2 linked regions of the Oryctolagus cuniculus genome follow. The protein of the gene in region 1 purifies or fractionates together with the protein of each later gene. This does not show direct contact. Links are inferred from orthologs where the notes say so. Each region holds a gene or a part of one and is shown on either strand. Other genes may lie near its edges. The genes, in order: SAE1 and SUMO3.

The links.
Region 2: the proteins of SAE1 (region 1) and SUMO3 purify together in Homo sapiens (affinity purification with mass spectrometry; 3 studies listed by BioGRID and IntAct, with this or other methods). This does not show direct contact. The link is inferred for Oryctolagus cuniculus from reciprocal best matches to the Homo sapiens genes SAE1 and SUMO3.

The regions. Positions count from the first base shown.
Region 1 is NC_091449.1:10,355,224-10,359,020, reverse strand, and holds part of SAE1 (SUMO-activating enzyme subunit 1), read left to right. Parts: intron 1-2,335; coding exon 2,336-2,509; intron 2,510-3,797. UniProt on the Homo sapiens protein: The heterodimer acts as an E1 ligase for SUMO1, SUMO2, SUMO3, and probably SUMO4. It mediates ATP-dependent activation of SUMO proteins followed by formation of a thioester bond between a SUMO protein and a conserved active site cysteine residue on UBA2/SAE2.
Region 2 is NC_091435.1:1,757,224-1,761,622, forward strand, and holds the start of SUMO3 (small ubiquitin-related modifier 3), read left to right. Parts: upstream 1-1,361; 5' UTR 1,362-1,523; coding exon 1,524-1,544; intron 1,545-3,693; coding exon 3,694-3,822; intron 3,823-4,399. UniProt on the Homo sapiens protein: Ubiquitin-like protein which can be covalently attached to target lysines either as a monomer or as a lysine-linked polymer. Does not seem to be involved in protein degradation and may function as an antagonist of ubiquitin in the degradation process.

The sequences.
Region 1 (3,797 bases):
GTGTGCTCAGAGAGTGGGGATGGAGCTGATTTCTGTTTAAGCTCCTCTTGGTTAGGTGCCAAGGTCATTTGCAGTGATGAAGGGTTAACTTAGATGTTTGGTGTGTGAAGAAATGCTTTGTGAGTGTGGAATCTGAGTCTCCTGGTGGCTGTCAGGGTTTATATCATTTCATCTTTCAGGCTCTGCTGTGGAAGTCCTCTGCTCCAGTCCCCTCTATTGTTCTGGTTGAATTTCATTGAATTTAAAAGTTCATTTTTACGAAAGATTTACTTACATTATTTGAAAGAGTTACATTGAGAGGGGGAGAAACATTATCTTCCACCTGATGGTTTACTCCCTACGTGACTGCATTGGCCAGAGCTGGGCAGGCCGAAGCCAGGAGCCTGGAACTCCACTGGGGTCTTCCACTTGGGTGGCAGGGGCCAATCTTCCCCTGTGTTCTTTTTTTTTTTTTTTTTTTTTTTTTTTTTTTTTGACAGACAGAGTGGACAGTGAGAGAGAGAGACAGAGAGGAAGGTCTTCCTTTGCCGTTGGTTCACCCTCCAATGGCCGCCGCAGCTGGTGCACTGCAGCCGGCGCATCGCGCTAATCTGAAGCCAGGAGCCAGGTGCTTATCCTGGTCTCCCATGGGGTGCAGGGCCCAAGCACTTGGGCCATTCTCCACTGCCCTCCTGGGCCACAGCAGAGAGCTGGCCTGGAAGAGGGGCAACCGGGACAGAATCCGGCGCCCCGACCGGGACTAGAACCCGTTGTGCCGGCGCCGCAAGGCAGAGGATTAGCCTAGTGAGCCACAGCACCGGCCTTCCCCTATGTTCTTAGCAGGGAGCTATATCGGAAGTGGAGCAGCCATAACTTGAACTGGCACTCATATGGGATGCCGGTATCCTAGCCAGTAGCTTAACTCACTGTGCCATGGTGTTGGCCCCTAAAGTTCATTTTAAGCATTCTCAATTGTGTCTGAATTTTGTACTAGTATGGGTTTTTTTTTGTGTTTTTTTTTTTGTTTGTTTGTTTGTTTTTTTGACAGGCAGAGTAGAGAGTGAGAGAGAGAGAGACAGAGAGAAGGGTCTTCCTTTTGCCGTTGGTTCACCTTCCAATGGCCTCCGTGGCTGGCGCGCTGTGGCCGGCGCACCGCGCTGATCCGATGGCAGGAACCAGGTGCTTCCTCCTGGTCTCCCATGGGGTGTGGAGCCCAAGGACTTGGGCCATCCTCCACTGTACTCCCGGGCCACAGCAGAGAGCTGGCCTGGAAGAGGGGCAACTGGGACAGAATCCGGAGCCCCGACCGGGACTAGAACCCGGTGTGCTGGCGCCGCTAGATGGAGGATTAGCCTAGTGAGCCGTGGTGCCGGCCAGTATGGTTTTTTTTTTTTTTTTTTTAATTATTTTTTATTTACTTGAAAGACACAGAGATCTCTGATCTACTGGCTTACTCCCCAAATGCCCACAGCTGGGACTGGGCCAGGCGGAACCCAGTTTGGAACTTAGTCTGGGTTTCTCATGTGGGTGGCAGGTACTTGAGTACTTGAGCAATCACCGGCTCCTCCCAGGGTGCACATTAGCTGCAAGCTGGAATTGAAAGCGGAGGCAGGACTCAAATCCAGGCGCACTCATGTGGGACGCAGGTGTCCCCAGGGGTGTCCTCACCACTGTGCCTTGCACGAGTCAGGTTGTAAACTGCATGAGACAGGGACCACACTTAGCGTTGGGCACATGTAAGGGTTTAGTTTGTTAGCAGTTATCAATGTGAGAAGGAATGCATGGACTTTCTTGTTTTTCTCTATAAACACAAGGGGGTGCTCTTTAACCACCAATGCCCAGAAAAAAAGTTAAAAGTCAAACATCTGTTTCCAATTTTATTTTTATTTTTAAAAGATTTTTTATTTATTTGAAAAGCAGAGTTACAGAGAGAGAGAACTTCTATCCACTGCTTCATTCCCCAAATGGCTGCAACCGCCAGGGCTGGGCCAGGCTGAAGCCAGGAGCCAGGAGCTTCCTCTGGTTCTCCCACATGGGTGCAGGGGCCCAAGCGCTTGGGCCACCTTCCACTGCTTCCCCGGGTGCATTAGCAGGGAGCCTGATCGGAAGTGGAGCAGGCCGTAGCTTTACCCAGTATCCCACAACGCTGTCCCCCAAATGTCCTGTTTTAAATAGCCTTTTCTCAGAAGGAGGACTGAGAATAGGCAGTCTGCATTGGGCATATTGCTGCAGGAACTGTTAACCAATTAGATGGTAAGTGTTCTAGCCAACCTTCAAAATTAAAAAAGCTCATTGTCTTTGGAGCATATTTCCCAGAAAAAAATCAAAGGTTTAAGAAAAAAAAAATTATTTCTAGGTATCTCCAGAGGATCCTGGAGCACAGTTCCTGATCCGGACCGGGTCTGTTGGTCGGAACCGGGCCGAAGCCTCCTTGGAGCGTGCCCAGAACCTCAACCCCATGGTGGACGTGAAGGTGGACACTGAGGAGATAGAGAAGAAGCCGGAGTCGTTCTTCACGCAGTTTGATGCTGTGAGTTTCGCGGTGGAAGATCTGCAGAGAAATGAATAGTGGAGCATTCGCATCTCCCCATCTCAGATGAGCTTTTCCCCAAGTGCATTTTTTTTTTCTTTTTCTTTTTCTGACAGGCAGAGTTACAGAGAGACAGAGAGCAAGGTCTTCCTTTTTCTGTTGGTTCACCCACCAAGTGGCTGCTACGGCCGGCACGCTGCGGCAATCCAAAGGCAGGAGCCAGGTGCTTCTCCTGGTCTCCCATGGGGTGCAGGACCCAAGTACTTGGGCCATCCTCCACTGCACTCCTGGGCCACAGCAGAGAGCTGGCCTGGAAGAGGGCAACTGGGACAGAATCCGGTGCCCCAACCGGGACTAGAACCCAGTGTGCCAGCGCTGCAGGCGGAGGATTAGCCTAGTGAGCCGCAGCGCTGGCCCCAAGTGCATCTTTAGGCTGCTTAGTTCTCTCGGCTCAGTATGGCACATGGATGGCTGCGAGGTAGGGCCAGTCTGCTGGACCTGCTGTAGCCGCTTGTGACGTGCTGTCTGCTGGCTTCCTTTCTGTGCATATGGCCCCCAGAGCAGGTTTCCATATTGCTGTTTTGTCTCCCTTCCAGAATCTTTGCACATAGCTGTGATACATTTTATTGCAAATGTTTTCTCCCTCATACTTCCCAATCTGGTGATTAATTTCGATGGTAGAGACATACTTTTGGCTAGAAATATCAAACTACAGCTGTGTTTTGTCTTGAGAAAGAGCACACCTGATCTTGGTGTACCTGCGTCTGCCTGTCTTTCTTATGTAGAAATGTAGAACTGAGCCAAATGAGGCAAATCCTCACTTGGGTTCACCACCAGATCTGTGCAGAGGTGAAAAAGGTGAGCTGAATTTTATGGCAGTACTGGGCACCTATCCTGGAAAAGCTTCACAAATCTTGGATAACTGTGAAATAATCATGGTGAGTGCCTTTTTTTAAAATGACAGGCCTGTTACATGAGAGAGTAGAAGTTGAGTTGGGTGGTTTGTACTTCACAGATTTTGCACCCACATCTGTTCACTTGCAGTGTGGACGGATGCATTGTCTGTGTGTTTGTCCTTTTCTTTCTTCCCAATCTCTTTTACTTTGTAACTTTGTGTACTAGGACCCTTTCTACCTGGACACGTGTCCTCATTGCCTTACCCGTAGCAGCCACATTAGGTTTACTCTAGGTGTCCCTTGAACTTAGAGAATCGGAAGAGAGGTTGTTAGACTGGAAGCACGTGGCCTGTTGGTTGAGTAATACTGACTGCTTCATGGGCCCCTGGTTG
Region 2 (4,399 bases), on another chromosome or scaffold:
GGCTGGGAAGCTGGGTCTGGGCGCACCTCTCACGGCCAGACTTCAGCAGTCTTTTTCTCTCTGATTTTACTTATTTATTGCAGACAGAGAGAAGTCTTCCATCTGCTGCTTCTCTCCGCAACGGCCGAAGCTGCACCGATCCGAAGCCAGGGTCCTGGAGCTTCTTCCGGCCTCCCACATGGCCGCAGGGCCCCAAGGACTTGGGCCTGCTGCTGCTGTCCCAGGCCACAGCAGGGAGCTGGATCGGAAGAGCGGCCGCTGGAAACTGAAGGCGCCCACAGATGCCGGCGCTGCAGGCGGAGGCTCAGCCCCAGCCCCAGCCCCAGCCCCAGCCCCAGTAACCTTTGCTCTTAATGGTGGCCCTGCCCAGACGTTTGAGGGTGGAAGGGGGCTTGGGAGATGCCCTGCGGCTCCGCAGCGTTACCAGGAGGTGAGTGGCACCTGTCTGCTGGCCTGCTCAGGCAGGATGGAAACGGTTCCGAGCCTTGGGCTGCGGCTCATCCTGGTGCCGCCCACCGGCCCCTCCATCCGAGGTGATTAAGGTCGGGGGTGGGCGTGCCTTCCGCGGTTCCGTGGGCCCCCATCTTGCATGGGCCACGCGGCCAGGTGCTCGAGCTCCCACCCGTGGTGACACCCGGCCTGTGGTTTCACCTCCCACCGCCTCGGTTTTCTCATACGTGAATGGGTTGTTGCGAGGACTAGGTGTGGACAGCATTCTAGAAGTCAGCCAAACCACCGGGAGGGGGCTCCCCATGGTGGAGAGTGGACGCCCCAGAGGAGGCGCCGGCCAGGGAAGTGGCCGGGAGGAGAGGACCTGGTGACCCCAGCCCTGTCTGCAGAAGCCTGCGTGATGTGGACAGAGGACACAGGTCCCCTCCAGTCGGGGAAGGGCCTCTCCCGAGCCCCCCCCACCGCCTTTCCTTTACCCCCTAGAGAAATGCAGCCCCGCAGAAGTGGGGGGTGCGTGGCCTGGCCTCGGCCTGCACAGCTCAGAGGCCTGGGGCCGCGCGCGGGCGGGGGGTTCCCAAGGGGACTTGCAGGTGGCTCCAGGGCCCCGAGGCCCGAACTGGACCCTGACCCTGCCCACGTCAGCGCAGCCACTCCGGAGCCCAGGCCTGGCCCTCACGTCCCCGCCCCCAAGCCCGATCCCGGGCCCTGGGCTCCCCCAGCCGTGCACTCCCTGCGCGTCCCCGGGGCCGGGCACCCGCGACAGCCTGCGGCCCCGGGTCCCACGCGCGCCCCCGGGCGCCCAGACTGCGGGGTCGCGCGGGGACCCGCCCCGTGACGCACTTCCAACCGCCGGGAACCGCGGCCCGCCCGGGCGCGCGCCCGACGCCCCAGGGCGCGCGCCTCGTGCACGCGCGCCCGCCACGTGACCTCCCCCGGCCAACCGGCGCGCCGGGATTTGAGGGATAAAGCGCGGCCCCGAGGGCAGTTGCGGCGGGAGAGCGGCGGCCCGGAGAGCGACTGCCCCGCTCGCGCTGCTGCTGCCGCCGCCGCCGCGACCGCGACCGCGCGCAGCCATGTCCGAGGAGAAGCCCAAGGTAAGCCGCGGCCCGCCCGCCGCCCGCCGCCCCGGGGCACCCGCGCCTCCGCTCCTGGCAGGCCCCGTCCCCACCCGCCGTGGCCACGGCGCCCACGAGCCCCGCGCCCGGGCCCACGCCGCACGCCCGCCCCTCCCCCACGGGCCTCCGCGCCCCTCCCCCACCGCGGGCTCCGCGGCGCGCCCCGCCCCGTCCTCGCCCCGCCCCGACAGCGTCTGTCCCGGAGCCCCGCCCCTGCTCTGCACCCGTCGGAGCTCCTCCCCGAGCCCGCCCCCTTCCGCTTCTCGAGCCCCGCCCCTTGCCGGTTTCGAGCCCCTCTAGTCCTAGCCCCGTCCCGTCCTAGCCCCGCCCCCAATAGGTCTCTCCCGGAGACCCGCCCCCTTTCTGGTCTCGGGCCTCTTACGTCATAGCCCCGCCCCGAGAAGCCCCGCCCTGACAGCGTCTCTCCCGAGCCCCGCTCCAAGCCCCGCCTCCTGGCCCCGCCCCCGCTGTGCGCCCCCTGGCGCGCGTCCTCGAGGGCGTGTTCGCGTGGCCCCGTCCTCCGTCCAGGTTTTCCCGCGCGGTGGCCCCTCTCCTGAGAGAGTGGGAGTAGCCGGGGTCGGTAGCCCGCTGCGACCCCGGATGTGCTGCCGTCTCCCAGCGCGGCCCCGGGGTGCGGCCCTTCCCCGTCACAGCCCCAGGGTGCTCCCCCTCCCCGTCATAGCCCCAGGGTGCTCCCCCTCCCCGTCATGGCCCCGGGGTGCGCCCCCTCTCCCTCTAGGTCCCAGGGTGTGCCCACCTCCCTGTCACAGTCCCAGGGTGCTCCCACTCCCCGTCACAGCCCCAGGGTGCTCCCCCTCTCCCTCTAGGTCCCAGGGTGCGCCCACCTCCCTGTCACAGTCCCAGGGTGCTCCCACTCCCCGTCGCCGCCCTGGGGTGCGCCCCCTCCCTGTCACAGCCCCAGGGTGCTCCCCGTCCCCGTCACAGCCCCAGGGTGCTCCCCCTCCCCGTCACGGTCCCGGGGTGCTCCCCCTCTCCCTCTAGGTCCCAGGGTGCACCCCTCCCCGTCACAGCCCCAGGGTGCTCCCCCTCTCCCTCTAGGTCCCAGGGTGCTCCCATCGTCCCGGCCTGGGGTGGGCCCCTTCCTGTCCCGCCCCGAGGGCTGCCCTGGGTCAGGCCGGCAGTCCTTGGGTAGGTGGAGGCGGAAGCTCCGGTCTCTGAGCACGTGCTGGGGACCTGGGGCTCCGTGCTGGGGACCTGGGGCTCCTGCTGCAGCTGGGGTCAGAGGTGAGCAGCCCCCTTCACAGGTGAGGGAGGAGGCTGGAGCCCAGCCCCTGGCCGGGCCCTGCTTGGGTGAGGGAGGAAAGCCGGCATCTGGCCACAGCCTCTAACGTGTGCCCAGGGCAGGGCCCCCCGGCCCAGGTCCTCGCCCATGGCATAAACTTGCCGGTGGACGCCAGCTCTGCTCTGGCCGTGGGGCGTGGGCGTGCGGGGAGGCAGCCTTGTGGTCAGATGGGAAAACCATTTCTGCCCCCCAGAATACTGACCACAATGAATTGGGGCAATTGGTTTTAGGACTTCTTTTCCTCTTTTAAAAAAAGATTTTTTTCTCTCTGTCTCTCACTGTCCACTCTGCCTGTCAAAAAAAAAAAAAAAAAGATTTTAAAGTGTGTTTACTTGAGAGTCAGAGACACAGAGAGAGGGTCTCCCGTCGGCCCTGTGCGTATCCCAGATGCCTGCAACGGCGGGGCTGGGGCCGGGAGCTGGCAGCCCCACGCACGTGTCCGCACCTGCCCGGGCCGCATGGCCCTCCTGGCCGCTGCCGCGTGGACCGCAGCTTCCCTCCCTCCTGTCAACACTGCCTTCTGCTTCTCTGAAGTCACGCACAGCTGCGTGCAGTGTGTGGTTCTGTTAGTTTTGTAAAAGTGACTTTCAAACGAAGATGGGTTTTCCGACTTCTCCTGGGCCCTGCAGGCTCGGGCGTGCTGCTCCCCCGGGACGCCCAGCGGCTGGGGGTGAAAGTCCGTTCTGTGCCAAAACAAAGCAGCCGCCTGCTGGAGGGGCCTGGACGGAGGCGCCGGTTAGGTGGTGGCCATGACGTCAGTGAAGCCCGGCGCCCCTCAGCTCCTGGAGAGCGCCGGATCCTTAGAGGTGTTTCCTGTCCCTGCAGGAGGGCGTGAAGACCGAGAATGACCACATCAACCTGAAGGTGGCCGGGCAGGACGGCTCCGTGGTGCAGTTCAAGATCAAGAGGCACACCCCACTGAGCAAGCTGATGAAGGCCTACTGCGAGCGGCAGGTGCGGCGCCCCCCGGCTGCCTTGCCCAGGGGCCTTGCCCAGGGGTCTCGTCCCGGTGGCCCTGTAAACGGACAGGTGGCGCTCACCGTGGCGGGCCCTTCTGCTGAGACGCCCTCTGGGGCAGGTGCGGCGCCCCCCGGCTGCCTTGCCCAGGGGTCTCGTCCCGGTGCCCCTGTAAACGGACAGGTGGCGCTCACCGCGGGCGGGCCCTTCTGCTGAGACGCCCTCTGGGGCCGGTGCCTTCCGATGCACTGCCGGGCAGGTCCCGCGTCGCTCCTCGCCTTACTTCTGCCCGTCAGCAGTGTGCTTTGCCAGCTCGTTTAGCAACGGCGAGAAAATGATGGATCTCCCCCAGTTTCCCAAACAGCGAGCCGCCTCAGCAGCACCCCCCTGTGGTCAGTCAGAACGGCCGTTTCTGGTGGCTAGCGTTCGTCTCACCAGCTCATGGGTCGTACACGTCTGTGCTTCGACGGTCGTGGCGTTCCAGTCCGTGCCCAGCGTGCTCGTCCTGGGGAGATGGGCATCGGTCCAGTCCGTTGCAGAATTCCTGCCACTGCATGGCCTTGCTGACTCACGG